2 linked regions of the Xenopus tropicalis genome follow. The protein of the gene in region 1 binds, or shares a complex with, the protein of each later gene. Links are inferred from orthologs where the notes say so. Each region holds a gene or a part of one and is shown on either strand. Other genes may lie near its edges.

Region 1 (8,949 bases):
TGGCAACAGCGGGAGGACACCCAACTAATTCCCATGCCCTGGAGTAGGACTGGGCATTATACTTGGCATCTATCAGTGTGTGCCACGGGGAATCCCTGGGCCCCATACTACAGGTATAGGACCTATTATCCAGAATGGGGTTTTCCGGATAAGGGATCTTTCCGTAATTTGGATCTTCATAACTTGAAGTCTGCTAAAAATCCTGTAATTATATCTTAGTTGGGATCAAGTACAGGTACTGTTTTATTATTACAGAGAAAAGGGAATCATTTAACCATTAAATAAACCCAATAGGGCTGTTCTGCCCCAATAAGGGGTAATTATATCTTAGTTGGGATCAAGTACAGATACTGTTTTATTATTACAGAGAAAAGGGAATCATTTAACCATTAAATAAACCCAATAGGGCTGTTCTGCCCCCAATAAGGGGTAATTATATCTTAGTTGGGATCAAGTACAGGTACTGTTTTATTATTACAGAGAAAAGGGAATCATTTAACCATTAAATAAACCCAATAGGGCTGTTCTGCCCCAATAAGGGGTAATTATATCTTAGTTGGGATCAAGTACAGATACTGTTTTATTATTACAGAGTAAAAGGGAATCATTTAACCATTAAATAAACCCAATAGGGCTGTTCTGCCCCAATAAGGGGTAATTATATCTTAGTTGGGATCAAGTACAGGTACTGTTTTATTATTACAGAGAAAAGGGAATCATTTAACCATTAAATAAACCCAATAGGGCTGTTCTGCCCCAATAAGGGGTAATTATATCTTAGTTGGGATCAAGTACAGGTACTGTTTTATTATTACAGAGAAAAGGGAATCATTTAACCATTAAATAAACCCAATAGGGCTGTTCTGCCCCAATAAGGGGTAATTATATCTTAGTTGGGATCAAGTACAGGTACTGTTTTATTATTACAGAGAAAAAGGAAATAATTTTTAAAAATTAGAATGATTTGCTTATAATGGAGTCTATGGGAGATGGCTTTTCCGTAATTCAGAACTTTCTGGATAAGGGGTTTCCGGATAAGGGATCCCATACCTGTACTAAGTTAGCAGGGCCCTCCACCCTAGGGAGCCCCAATTATTTACCCACTGGGTAGAAGCATATCTACCCGGGGGGGGGCAGAACCCCTAGGCTCAGCCCCCCATGGTATGTGCATGGTAAGTTTCAGTGTGGAAATCTTGCCCACTATAGTTACCCCACTACCATTGGTCACCTAGACCCCCAGGGGGAGGATCCTGCCAACATGCGAAATGGGACCCCAATGAGAACACACACAGACACACCCCATATCCCAGTCCCGACCCATAAAGCTAAAACTGTGCCAACATTGCACCCAAATTTCACCCACTCCAAATAACCAATAACAATTTTATTTCTCTTGGGCCCCCCTGTGCCTCTTGATGGTACAAATATTGGGGGGCCCGGGGATTATGCCCTCACTTCCCTATGATGAAACCCTATGTGTCATGTTTAGCGCTGGGGGGTTTGGGCTTCAGGGACTGAGCCCCACACTGGGATAAAGGGAACACACCCGGGGCCCCTCCGGTATAACGAGGGTTAATGCGCCACGCCTACCGCCGTGAATTTGCTTCCAAACGCTAACAATGAGCAATTAAACTCCTCTTAATCCTCAAATATTTTGCCAGGGTGATAAGGAATCCTGCCAGCAATCCAACACCCGATGCCAGCTCTGTGCCCACATACAGTGCCAAGGTGCCGCCATGGTAACCTAATAAATGCACTCATATGACTGGCGGGGGGGCAAAGGCTCACCTGGGGGGGCAGTTATATAACAACTGGTTGGACTCCCCCTGTGCCCCCCTAATGGCCATGTCCCAGCCACTCCTGATTATTCCCTGACCATGTACTCTCATTGGCTCACCCAAGGTTAAAGGGGATACAAACCCTGCTGCCCAGCGCGGCTCAACCCAACGTTACTCAGTTGTTACTGGGCTACAAATCCCACAATAATGTAACATATAATGAAGCTTGGGGCATGCTGGGAGCTGTAGTCCAGCAACATCAGGGCTGTATTCTTAAAGCAATATTGCACAATAAAACTTTCCCCCAAATCCCCACAGCCAGCGACTGCTTTAACATGCGAAAAATCCTCCAATGAGAATCCCAGCTGATGTGAGTAAATCCGGCTCCCTGTTCTCTGTTCCTGCAATTGGAGTTGGGAGCAATAAGCACAGTTTCCCAGCACTGAACAAGTCTGTCCCTTTATCCCCATGTCTGATTCCTGTGCCATATAATGAGGGGAGAAAATGCCATCATTATCTCTATATGTAAGGTACCAGCAAGGGGCCTGACACAGTGCTGGGAATCAGCATTCTCACTGGGCAGTTCTTTTGCATTTATAATCAACTTATTTATCAGTACAATTCTCATTGGGGAATTTCCTTGCATCTGTAATGATGGTTTTTGGCAGCTTCTATAGCAAAACTAGGGGGCGCCGTGGGGCAGCATCATGGCTGGGTTTATATCACCATTAAATATACGGGGGGCAAAAATGCAGGATATTTGGCAGGTCCGACAGATGACTGGGCCACATGCTATCAGCAGGGCTTTCCCCACAATGGAGCCTGGGTTATTAGCCCCCCCGCCCACACACAGGCCCTGAGCCCTAGAATCCATGTAACCAAGGCTAGGTACATACATAGCAAAACCCCCAGTCTGCCCTGTTACCCTCTTACCTGCCCAGACCCCTGCCCATCTCACCAGCAAACCCTGTACCTTTTGCAGTCCTATGACAATGGCTATGGCCCCGTCCCTGCACTGTGATTGGGCCCCAGACCAGTCACCCCCCTCCCCTGCTGCTGAGTCCTTAATTGCACCCAGAAAGATACAAGTCACAGGGCCAATGGGCTCCCAGACTTCGAATAGAGGTTTTGGGAGCCCAATTATAGCACCCATGGGTGCCTGGTTATACAACTACAGCCTTGGATGGTATTAGAGCACCTAAATATCCAGGTCACTTCCAGTTGCCCCGGATTGGGCCAGCGGATAAGGAAGGTAATTACCCCAAAGGCTTCATTGCTCAGCCAAAGCGCCTTATATATTTATCCCACTCTCCCTAACGCTAATCCTCTTATCAGCCCTAATCTAATTATATGACCCCCACCCCCCCCCCGCCAGATTGCACATCCCACTGTCACTCAGCCAATGAATTGCCTCCATTGTGCTCTTGGGAACCAATGACCCATTGCTCTGTGCGGCCACAGTTTTATTGTTACAGCTCTGTAACTTTTCTTTCTATTCAGTCCCACTTCTATTCGTATCCCAGTCTCTCATTCCAACCACTGCCTGGTTGCTAAGATAATTTGGACCCTATCGACCATATAGCTGCTAAAATGCCAAGAGCCCCATTAAATGACATTATTGGCCGCACTATTGTGACGTCATTTCTGTATTCCAAGAGCTTCCCAGTGACACAAGTCCTTTAGGGGTTACGTGCCCAATGGGTTCCACTGGGAATGAGGTGCCAGTGCACAAAGGGTGCAAACTCTATACCAGAACAGGGCAGGGTTGTGCCAAGTTACGGGGCCCCCCTGCAGCCTATTACATATTTCTACATTTCATAGCATCCCCCCCCAGTTACAGCCTGTACACCTACCATCATCTTGCCTTACTATACACATTATGCCATAGTTAGAGCCCCTTCTCCTGGCACTGTAGCCCCTATGCCGAGTGCCATCTTGCCTACTATACACATTATGCCATAGTTAGAGCCCCTTCTCCTGGCACTGTAGCCCCTATGCCGAGTGCCATCTTGCCTTACTATACACATTATGCCATAGTTAGAGCCCCTTCTCCTGGCACTGTAGCCCCTATGCCGAGTGCCATCTTGCCTACTATACACATTATGCCATAGTTAGAGCCCCTTCTCCTGGCACTGTAGCCCCTATGCCGAGTGCCATCTTGCCTTACTATACACATTATGCCATAGTTAGAGCCCCTTCTCCTGGCACCACCTTACCTTATTCTGCACACTGTCCAGCACTGTAGCCCCTATGCCGAGCCCCATCTTGCCTTACTATACACACTATACTACAGTTACAGCCAATCCCTGAGGGTCCCTTTGCATACAGCTTGGGGGCCACACAAACTGCAGGGCACTAAAGGCAGCCCGGCCACAGAAAGAGGGGGCACTGCAAGCACCGGGCATTAAGGGGAATAACAGTGGGATTTGCTCATTAGAGGTAACACCCCGGGGGTCATGTTGGCACGAGGGGGCATCGCTGTGGGTGATTCCTTGTGCCCAGTCCGACACACATTGTGCCACAGACCTGTCCTTACTCACAGAAATACGTTCTCCATTGGCGCGGCCTTGTGGGCTTCCAGCTCCCCACAGCGGATTCCCAGCGGTGCCACCACGCAAGCAGGAACCGACTCCTCCAATACGGTTCTGATCCTTAGGTACGGGCTGTCAATCCACATGTAATCCATCTAGGCACCGGCATCACTGCAGCCCTGCCAGCCAGCGAGGTGTGCGACGGTCCCTTCCCTCTCAGCTCTCTCCCCCCCACTGATTCCTTTATTCTCTCCAATGGCAGCGACTACCCACGGGCTGGAATCTCAGCCGCTCTCTCGCTCTCTCGCTCTCTCTCAATCCAAGCAGCTGCATCAAAATTCTCCCATTTACTGTGTTATGCCCTGCGTGCAAGTCTGATTGGCTCGTGTCGTCATCGGCAGTACAGCGTGCCGCGGGCACAACACCAGCATATCAAATCTCTGCAGCCTCCCGCGGGTATGGGTGAGACCCTCCCCAGCCAGCGGGAATGCAGAGACAGAGATAGGGGGCCCAAATATTCCCCCCAGCAAAATGGCAACAGCAAGATACAATGGGGATTGTAAGATATGATGGAGACAGTGGGATAGGAAGAATGGTAAGATAGGGCAATGGTCAATAGGGCAAGAGGGCGACAGTAGGTCATGATGGAGACAGTAGGGCAAGATGGGGACAGTAGGACAAGATGGAGGCAGTAGGGCAAGATGGAGACAGTAGGGCAAGATGGAGACAGTAGGGCAAGATGGAGACAGTAGGGCAAGATGGAGACAGTAGGGCAAAATGAAGACAGTAGGGCAAGATGGGAGACAGTAGGGCAAGATGGAGACAGTAGGGCAAGATGGAGACAGTAGGGCAAGATGGAGACAGTAGGTCAGGATAGAAGCAGTGGGAAATGATGGAAACAGGACCAAAATAAAGAAAGTATGGCAAGATGCTTTAAAGGTGAATTAGCTTTGCTTGTACAACATATTTCCCAGGGCAGCCCAGTAAGCAGGGTTCCTATCTCTGCTGTTGGAATTAGAGTGTAGGCCTGGGGGAGAGGTGCATGTAGTCAGGACCAGAAACAGGCAAAATAAACAAAACAAAACACAATTCAAATAATAGAATACTTTGCCTTTAAATCATACAAATACAAAAACACATACAAGAGTATTATAAAAACAAAACCCCAAGTCTGGATGTGGGCCAAAAGCATCAATCTCTGGAGAAAATAGAGAAATAAATTCCGTTGAGGGGTTTGGGAATAGTCAGGGCGAGTGAACGTAAGGTCACAATCCATGGAGATGAATGTCTGGTTTATATTTTGGGAATAAAATCAAAGCCGCTAAATGTCATCCAAACGGGGAAACTATGGAGAGATATGCTGAAGTAAATTCAGCAAAAGAGCTCAGTGCCAGGCAGTGACTGCAAAAGCCAACAACAACTTCTGTTCCACATGCCATGGAGTTTTGCCCATAAATGCCATGTTGTGAGGCCTGGTCTAGTACACGGAAGGTATAAGCACCTTTGGGTGTCACCCCAGAAGGACCACCCAAAGGGAAACTATGGAGAGATATGAAAATAACACAGAAAAATACTCAGCAGAAGAGCTCAGTGCCAGGCAGTGGCTGCAAAAGCCAACAACAACTTCCGTTCCATATGCCATGGAGTTGTGCCCATAAATGCCATGTTGTGAGGCCTGGTCTAGTACGTGGTATAAACACCTTTGGGTGTCACCCCGCAAGGACCACCCAAAGGGAAACTATGGGGAGATATGAAAATAACTCAGAAGTAAACTAAGCAGAGGAGCTCAGTGCCAGGCAGTGGCTGCAAAAGCCAACAACAACTTCCGTTCCATATGCCATGGAGTTGTGCCCATAAATGCCATGTTGTGAGGCCTGGTCTAGTACGAGGAATAAACACCTTTGGGTGTCACCCCGGAAGGACCACCCAAAGGGAAACTATGGAGAGATATGAAAATAACTCAGAAGTAAACTCAGGAGAGGAGCTCAGTGCCAGGCAGTGGCTGCAAAAGCCAACAACAACTTCCGTTCCATATGCCATGGAGTTGTGCCCATAAATGCCATGTTGTGAGGCCTGGTCTAGTACGAGGTATAAACACCTTTGGGTGTCACCCCGCAAGGACCACCCAAAGGGAAACTATGGAAGGACCAACAGAAGTGGGTGTATTAATGCCCCTACCATATCAGAGAGTTCATTGGGTGCCAGCCTAGTGCATTGACCCAACCTGATGCGGGAACCCAAGGTCCAGGGTGGCAGTAGCTCCAGGGTTCCCCAGTGTGAATGGGCGCAATGGGGGCAAGAGGGATGTCTCGGAAAGCATGGGCAAGTGCAGGAACATGTTCATGCCTCCATGTATTGTCTCATTTCCCCTCTCCTGCCAACAAACACCAGTGGGGTTTAAAAACTGGGGGATAAATATTTGAGTGTTTCCATCGGCCTTACAATGACAAACATGTCTGAGGTCACAAAACAAATGCGGAAAGATTAACACCGCCGTCCAAAAAGGAATAGACTTGACTAAAGGCCACTGCGGAAGAACAACATGCAGGTTCTACAGGCTACTGCCTAGAGATCTATTGCCCCCAGTCGGGGCTGTTGGTTGCTAGGAACAAGTTTAGGGGTCCAGGGACTTGTCTTGTTGCTGAACAAACACCAAGCGGCGAGAGGGGGGCGCCGACGCTCAGCAGAGCCCGGATCGTTCTGATGTATGAGGCTCATTTCTCGTTGGTTTGAATTTCTAATTAAAAGTAAATCAAATCAGTGGGAACAAACAGGCAGCGAGGTCAGGCCAAGATTGGAGTAAGACTCGTCATAAATAGGATTGGGTGGGACACTCTATTGATTCATACAAAAACAGCATAGTAATACATTAAGCTGTGCAGAAGTAGGGAGTAATTAGCGAGTGTGCAGTAGGAGTAGGTACAAACAGCAGGACCAGCATGGAGTAGGGCAATAGCGTATGGGTTGAGGAGAGCACAGAGAATTCTGCATGAGTGTGGATTATAAGTAGTCATGCATAGGATGGGGTAATTAGTATGGAGTTAGAGTAATAATGCACTGCATGGGGTTGGATAGAGTTAGTAGTATGCATACTCCTGTGTAGGGAAGAGTAGAGGGTATCCCGCATAAGATGGGGTTTGATAAGAGTATTAGTGACTCTGCATATGATGGAGTTACACAGAGCTGGGGAAAGAGTAATCCTTATAGGACAGGGTGGAGTAGGGAATGGAGCATGCATGGAGTTGCACAGAATATGGAGTAGGAGTAATTGCACATAGGATGGGGTTGGATAAGACTATGGGGCTGAGTAGAGAATAGAGTAAGAGTAGTTATACACAAGGTGGGGTTGTGCAGACTATGAAGTAAGAGTAATCCTAATGAGTATGGGGCTGAGGAGAGAATGGAGTAAGAGTTATAGTTATGCATTTGATGGGATTGTATAGAATACGGAGTAGGAGTAATTGCACATAGGATGGGGTTGGACAGACTTTGGAGTAGGAATAATGGTACTTTTGCTCGTACCCCAGTGCCTTACTACAAGCCAATAGGCCGTACTCCTATGTTTATTTGCTACTCAAACGCTACTCGAGTCAGTTTGTGCCACACGTTAAAGGACTCACTTCCCAAACAGCTCACAAAGTCCTTCCTCCATGGAGTCCCGGCACCCCGGCCAAGAAACGTAGCCTGTACCTACTGACAGTAAGCCCCGCCCCCCAAGGGACATTTCCATAATACACCAAGATGGCTGCCCTACACCCAGCCCATCATAAACCTTTATTCCATCCCAAAAGTGCTTTGTGTTTGAGCCGAGAGTGCAGCCGAGAGTGCAGCCGAGAGTGCAGCCGAGAGTGCTGAGAGCCGTTGCCCCTTTCTTGCAGCTTCGAAACCTAAATGGATTTGTGATGATGAAAATCAATATTTTCACTTTCAGATTTTCCATCTAATCCCTCCATATTGGACAGTTTGTAGCCCATGTGGATCTAGTGAAGGGCAGAAATGGATGGGGCTCTAAGCAGCGGATAAGACAAAAGCTTCTGTTTGTTGAGTGAGTGTGAAGCTTCGCTATTCAGCATGGACATCTCCGGCCGGAACCTTCATGGTGCCCTACCAGCCCTCTCATACGGGGATCTGAGCACATAGTCCCATTAACCCCCGGCACATAGTCCTACTGAGCCCCTGCCCATAGTCCTACTGAGCCCCGGCCCATAGCCCTACTGAGCCCCTGCCCATAGCCCTACTGAGCCCCTGCCCATAGTCCTACTGAGCCCCGGCCCATAGCCCTACTGAGCCCCTGCCCATAGCCCTACTGAGCCCCTGCCCATAGTCCTACTGAGCCCCGGCCCATAGCCCTACTGAGCCCCTGCCCATAGTCCTACTGAGCCCCGGCCCATAGCCCTACTGAGCCCCTGCCCATAGCCCTACTGAGCCCCTGCCCATAGTCCTACTGAGCCCCGGCCCATAGTCCTACTGAGCCCCGGCCCATAGTCCGACTGAGCCCCGGCCCATAGTCCGACTGAGCCCCGGCCCATAGTCCGACTGAGCCCCGGCCCATAGTCCGACTGAGCCCCGGCCCATAGTCCGACTGAGCCCCGGCCCATAGTCCTACTGAGCCCCGGCACATAGTCCTACTGAGCCCCGGC
Region 2 (5,993 bases), about 82 Mb from region 1:
CGTCCATAGCAGAAACTCAAGGTTACCCCGATTATGCAAGTTTATTTAACCCCTAAATATGCTAGTCTGACCTGTCATCATATTGGCTTGTGTACTGTGTTAACCCTAAAGCTTACATTAGTAAGTGAGCTTATGTAAAAAGGATAGCGTGGCAAGAGTCCTACCACTATTTAGTGCTGCTCACTCTCTCCATAAAAGGGGAGCAAACATCCAAAATTCATAAAAAAAAAACCAAAAAAACATTTTAGAAGTAAGCCAACGCAAAACCTGCTTTATTGGACTTTCTTACCTGCATTCAAATGGCAATCTTTGATCTGAAACTGCAGCTCATTCTCATTGGGGATGTCCTTCCATGTGGCCAGGAAGACTTGACGTTCTATGAGACAACACATGCATATTTATTATATAAAGAAAATGCTCATACTAGTTAATAAGGGAAAACATTCACTAAACTATAAGAAAGGCAAATGTGGCCTATTCAGGCTACAGACTGACTGCTCTCAGACCAACCATCTATACATAAAATGTTATGGTATAGAATCTATAACCCCAGATTGGAATGGGGGGGGGGGGGGGAGATATAATAAACACTACATTAAAAAAAGAGTTGATGGACAGATTATAATTTGAGAGCATTTTTACAGGAGTAACAGTTTTTTAAAATGGGTTTCCCTTTATTTTAGCAACATATTTCTCTTTGGTTGATGTTTTTAAAAGCAATTCATTTACCTGTTTATTATAAGTAAAAAGCATTTGGGATGGTGCAAAAGGACAATAGAAGAGTTAGTAAGAGAAAAATAAAAGATGTTTCTCCTGTGGACTTTGTAAATGGACAATAAAGCTAGAGGGCAAGAATGCCAATTATGCTTTACAATTTTGAAAATACAAGGTGCCATTGCTTAGGAAGAAGCCATTTAATGGTAAAGGCATCCTCTGTGTTGTGTGCAAGACACAAAGAACTCCACTCCCAGGACCTTTGAGGGACTCTGGAAAACTAGGAGTGAGGGTCGCTAACATGGAGAGAGGAACCTCAAGGAATAGAGTTCGGACTTATGTGGGATCTGTGCCTTATAAGCTCTTTTTAATTCATTTTCTAAACAGGAATACCATTGGTATAGATGGCACAAGCCAACAGAGCAAAAATTCCAGTGTCAGTAAAGAAGGTAGACATAATGAATAACATGCTTTTCATTTGCACATAACAGGATTTTTACATACAGTCCAAGAGATGCAAGAGGTTCTGTTGTCATAAGTCATGATTTAACCACTGGCATTGTTACACTAGGAATCCATTAGGATAAATTACTACTAGGGACATTTTACAGCTTTTTCTAGCTGTTGAACTTTAAGATGTCCTTCAGCACAGGATACAATCCAATAAATCTTGGCTATAATCTCTAAGCGCTGCTGCCATACCTTTTTATAGCTCCTCTGTTGAGTTTTAAACTCCAATCAAGTCCTTGGTAGAGAAGGTAGCAGCTAGTGAGGACACTAACACAATCATTACAGTTGAGCAGAATATACCACGCTCCATTACAATAGGCTGTACAATATAATAGAAATTGATGCAATACCAAACAAACGATGATAAATTTACAATATTGCAAACTGATGTGCACCCTACAGAAGAAGTCCCTTTAAACCTTACATATCAGATCTTTCCTTACCCATTTTGCCATCCTCCACAAAGAGCACATGTAGAGGGATAAGACAACTGAAGTAGAACACGTCGATGTTATTTTTCACAGCCACCTAGAATACACAAAAGAGTAGTGTGAAACGTAAGAATTATGGCAGGTTCACAGCAATCCCTAACCTAATGTACAGGCTTCACAACAGCCATTAACACGTTCAAAGCAGCCTTTCAGTCTTTTAGAATTCACCTTCTCAGCTACATGCACAAAACCAACAACTGTCTACAGTTTTATAAATAAGTGGATGGCTTTTTAATTACAGTTGAGTATTTTTGTGTGTGCTAGAATCCAAATGTATTGTGTGTAGGTTCTTTTTGACGCATCATATGTTTGCACTATGATACAACTATTGGCTAATAAATATAAACATTACATAACCTTCTGGGGTCACGTGTACATATATGTGTTTAGATAAGAAATGTCCTGAAGCTTGCTTGATTTAGCATTTACTCTGAATACACTGCTAACTCCATCCAAACTATACTTAGAAAGCAGCTTTTGATGTGCTCCCCAGAGTACTCATAAATAAAAGAAACCCTGACAGCCAGCTAATACCCAAGAGACAGGACACTGCCTCAGTATGGCCTTAGCCAAGTCAATTTTCTAGCTACATCTAACTGAATTATAGTACATCAAGTGGCAGCTTCAATGACACATCTCCTATCCACTGAGTTATATGAAAGTGTGCTATGGTTCTGTTTTATTCCACACCCATGTACAGTACAGCAGTGCTCCAAAAGTAACATGCATTCAACATGCATTAATCAATATCCATGTAAATAAATGTCATCTTCTTTAAAAAAACATCTTCCCTATAATACTTCTTTATTTGGGGATACTTTTACAGAAGTGTTAGAGGTCAAGGAGACAGTGTTGTGCCCCCACTCCTTATCTAATAAACTGTAAATTAAACACCTCAGGTCTAAGTTACTAATAACAGTATGTAGCTGCAGACCTAGATTATACACCAGTAGCATCTTTGCTTTCTTTTTAAAGCATAATTAGCCAGAATAAGTGATGTGTGATTATTCTAATTTCACCTTAGACAGACAGTGGGTCTTATTTATAAAGATCTCAGCACCAATAAAGTGCTCTTTATTAGTTGACTGGAGTTATACATTTCATCTATAAGCAGAAGGAGCACCACTACATGTATGGACACTAGGCAAATCTGCACCTCAGCAGTAACCCATAGCAACCTATCAGTTATTATGTTTTTATAGCCAGCTACAGGTTAAACACTGAAAAAAATCATCTGATTGGTTGTCATGGGTTAATGCCTAGGTGCAAATATGCCCAATGTTTATAAAGGACCCCCCAGTAGCTTATGAATTTCGAAAGATATACATAAAATGTAGGTTTAAAAAAAGGCATACAATCTAGGCTGCAAAATCAAATCCCAAAAAAACAACGAATACAAATTTTGTCTCAAACTGTAAAAGCTATAATATAAATAAAAAGCAATAATAGAGTTGCAGGTCTGTCATGGGTACTTGATTTCTGTAGATGCCTCAGTAAAAATCAATAGAGTAAGCAAGTGGATCTATGAGAATACATAGATTTCTAAATGGATATTCAGTAAATTTGCTTCAATTAATGTCAGCCTCGGCTTTATACACATATTACAGTTCTTTATTGTTGTGTCTACTGCTATCTGGCTCTACCAAGGTTGTTGTTGGGCAGTAATGTAGGTCAGGGTTGTCTGACAACCGAAACATGATTTTTATGACATGTCCCCCCATCATAACTTCAATACAATCAAGCTTATGAGCAAAGTGTTGGCTGGTATGCAAAAATGTTGGATGCCACTACATAGGTGATAAAATCCATGGTCTTAAAGGTTTTTGTTGCGGCAATTTAAAGTGGCAACTCCATTGTTTTAAAAATCATGATTCGTCCTGGTCCTGGGTTTCCATGAAAAACTTTTATTAATTCTACAGAAGCTATTTAAATCCCAAGTTAAATATCATCTATCCACAAACATTTGCATACATGCACGCACACACTGTTTATGTTATGAATGGTAATAAAGATCTTCAGCCCCTACTAATTAACTTCATGATCACAACCACTACTGTAATGTAAAAAAAGAGATATATATTACCTGGAGATTGTTAAGGGGCTCCATTTTCATAACAGGCCCAAGGGTGTTTAGAGGAAGAGAAATGTCAATACTTTGGTTGGGCATGAGGGGAGTATGAATCGCCAGAGGGGCACTGGGAATGACACCAAAGCTAAGGGAAAATAGAAAGAAATTAGACACTTCTGAACAGTCCAAATGCCATGAAATAATTATTAGGGTAACATTCCTTAGAGGAGAAGGAAAGGTTAAAACTAATTAAGCTTTAACAGAAATGTCTATGTAAATACAGATAGTCCTCTATCAAAAGAAACACAGTATTTCTTGTCTCCTTTTTTGTAAATATGTTCTTCTGGTATCTGACTTTAGAGTCAGCGCCGTTCTCTTCTCTCGCCCCTCTCCTGATTCCTCATCCCATAAGGCTCTTTACTCAGGTATGGTAATGCTTTCTGCAGAATAAATAGTGTTCTAGGTGGCACTAATATGGTGAATCTATTGGCAGTAAAATCCTTCTCCTTTAAGCCAACTACTGTACCAAAATGTGCTGAGAAGTCGGCATGCTACAGAAAACAGCTCAGAACCTGCAGTAAATAAAGCACTAGGGAAAGCAAGTGGTTCTCACCACTCTGCCCTACAGTGGCTATACAGCCAAAATCCAACTGCTTCCATGTAGTACAAGTACCAAAGCATGGGATAAAAGTGGCTAGACTGTGAAAAGCAGTGCACTACACAGAGAATGTAAATCAGCCAATTAGATGACATAATGTGTGCTTCATAATCCAACTGTCCAGGGTCCACGCATACAGCAACCTTCAGTTGACATTACATTAAGAAAATGAATCTATCACAACACCTATTAAGGTAGGCAAGAAAAGCAGTGGTCCAGTCTCAACTAAACAGAACATGCAAATGTTTGTCTGTCCTCTTTCCCACAATCTTTGTGGGTCTTCTTTACCCTTTATATTAGTCAATATTTGTTCCTAGTTTGCATGTACTGAAATGCCCCTTCAGAACTGTACAATTTTGTGTTAAATATCAGTGTTTTATAAATACTTCAAAACTGGCTCACAGATCAGAGATCTACAGAACAGTTCATTTATGCTAAATGTTATTTAAATGTGAATATTTCATGGGAAGAAGCATTAGTAAGAATGATCAGTTACCATTGGGTGGATTTCTCATATGTTTGTCCTTTTCTAACAATATTGTTAAATATTAACATTATATCTGTATTATATTTTATTTATATGCCATGGGGCATATAGAATTGGACACAAGGAAACAAAGAGCCCAGAAAGATAAAGTAATAAAATATGAAAAATGACTGCAATTCTGAAGAACCCAGTGGACTGATCTAGAAGCTAATCTTTGTGGGTGAATGTGATGAGGGACCGTAGGCTATAAGCTTATACACAGGGGCAGGGACAGATATGAATGACAAACAATCCGTGTAAAGCACTGCATAAACATGGTAGCCCTATATACATAACAGATAATAAAAAATTCTAAGTGTCTTACCTGTTCTTATTAAACTGTATTGCAAAGTCAGTCATGTGCTGCAAAGCTTTGTTGGTGAAACTCATATCCATGTAGATGTGTGCTTGCCTGTGGGAGAATGTACCAGAGATCTCCAAGCCTTTGGCTTTTACAGCAGGTAACCAGACCTGGGAGAAAAATTCCAGGGAACCATGAGTTTTAAGAGGTATTATTTACATCACAAGTTCATAAACCCTCATACATTTACCAGCAGTGTGTACCAATAGCTGTAAATGCATTAACTGCAATTCAATAAATATAATTAGAATTTATTTCTTCCAAAAATACACAGCCATACAACATAGATCTGCACTCAGAAGGTAGTTAAATGCACTTTAAATTAGCTCAGACTGCTTTGAAATAAGTGTAGGCCTGTGAATTTGCAAATATACAATACAACCTGCTTTTATGTGCTTCAGTACATCTGAAGATTCCCAGTGTTTTACAGAAAGCATAATGACAGTACCAAAATAATTTTGTCATAAAGAATTTTCTTGTTATATTCTATGAAAGTGTGGGCTTATTTATAAAAAAACTTTTTTCAAAGCAGATTATAAACCAAATGCAGAATTTTACTGGTTTTACCACCACCGCCACTTTATGTTTATATCTAAGGCTAATGCCACACAGGGCCAATTCTTGGCCTGTGGATAAACATAATGTCGGCTTCCCGGTGGAGGCAC

The links.
Region 2: the proteins of arrb1 (region 1) and ap2b1 are in contact, whole or in part, in a crystal structure (PDB 2IV8), measured with the Homo sapiens proteins. The link is inferred for Xenopus tropicalis from reciprocal best matches to the Homo sapiens genes ARRB1 and AP2B1. Residues at the interface, in NP_004032.2 of Homo sapiens: Asp384, Asp385, Val387, Phe388, Glu389, Phe391, Ala392, Arg393, Arg395, Leu396; in NP_001273.1 of Homo sapiens: Arg834, Gln835, Phe837, Leu838, Trp841, Lys842, Asn846, Glu849, Ile876, Ala877, Arg879, Val881, Glu882, Gln884, Tyr888, Glu902, Arg904.

Annotation. Positions count from the first base shown.
Region 1 is NC_030678.2:175,780,036-175,788,984, reverse strand, and holds the start of arrb1 (beta-arrestin-1), read right to left. Parts: upstream 4,809-8,949; 5' UTR 4,465-4,808; coding exon 4,319-4,464; intron 1-4,318. UniProt on the Homo sapiens protein: Functions in regulating agonist-mediated G-protein coupled receptor (GPCR) signaling by mediating both receptor desensitization and resensitization processes.
Region 2 is NC_030678.2:93,557,756-93,563,748, reverse strand, and holds part of ap2b1 (AP-2 complex subunit beta), read right to left. Parts: intron 5,439-5,993; coding exon 5,293-5,438; intron 3,929-5,292; coding exon 3,799-3,928; intron 1,753-3,798; coding exon 1,668-1,752; intron 377-1,667; coding exon 290-376; intron 1-289. UniProt on the Homo sapiens protein: Component of the adaptor protein complex 2 (AP-2). Adaptor protein complexes function in protein transport via transport vesicles in different membrane traffic pathways.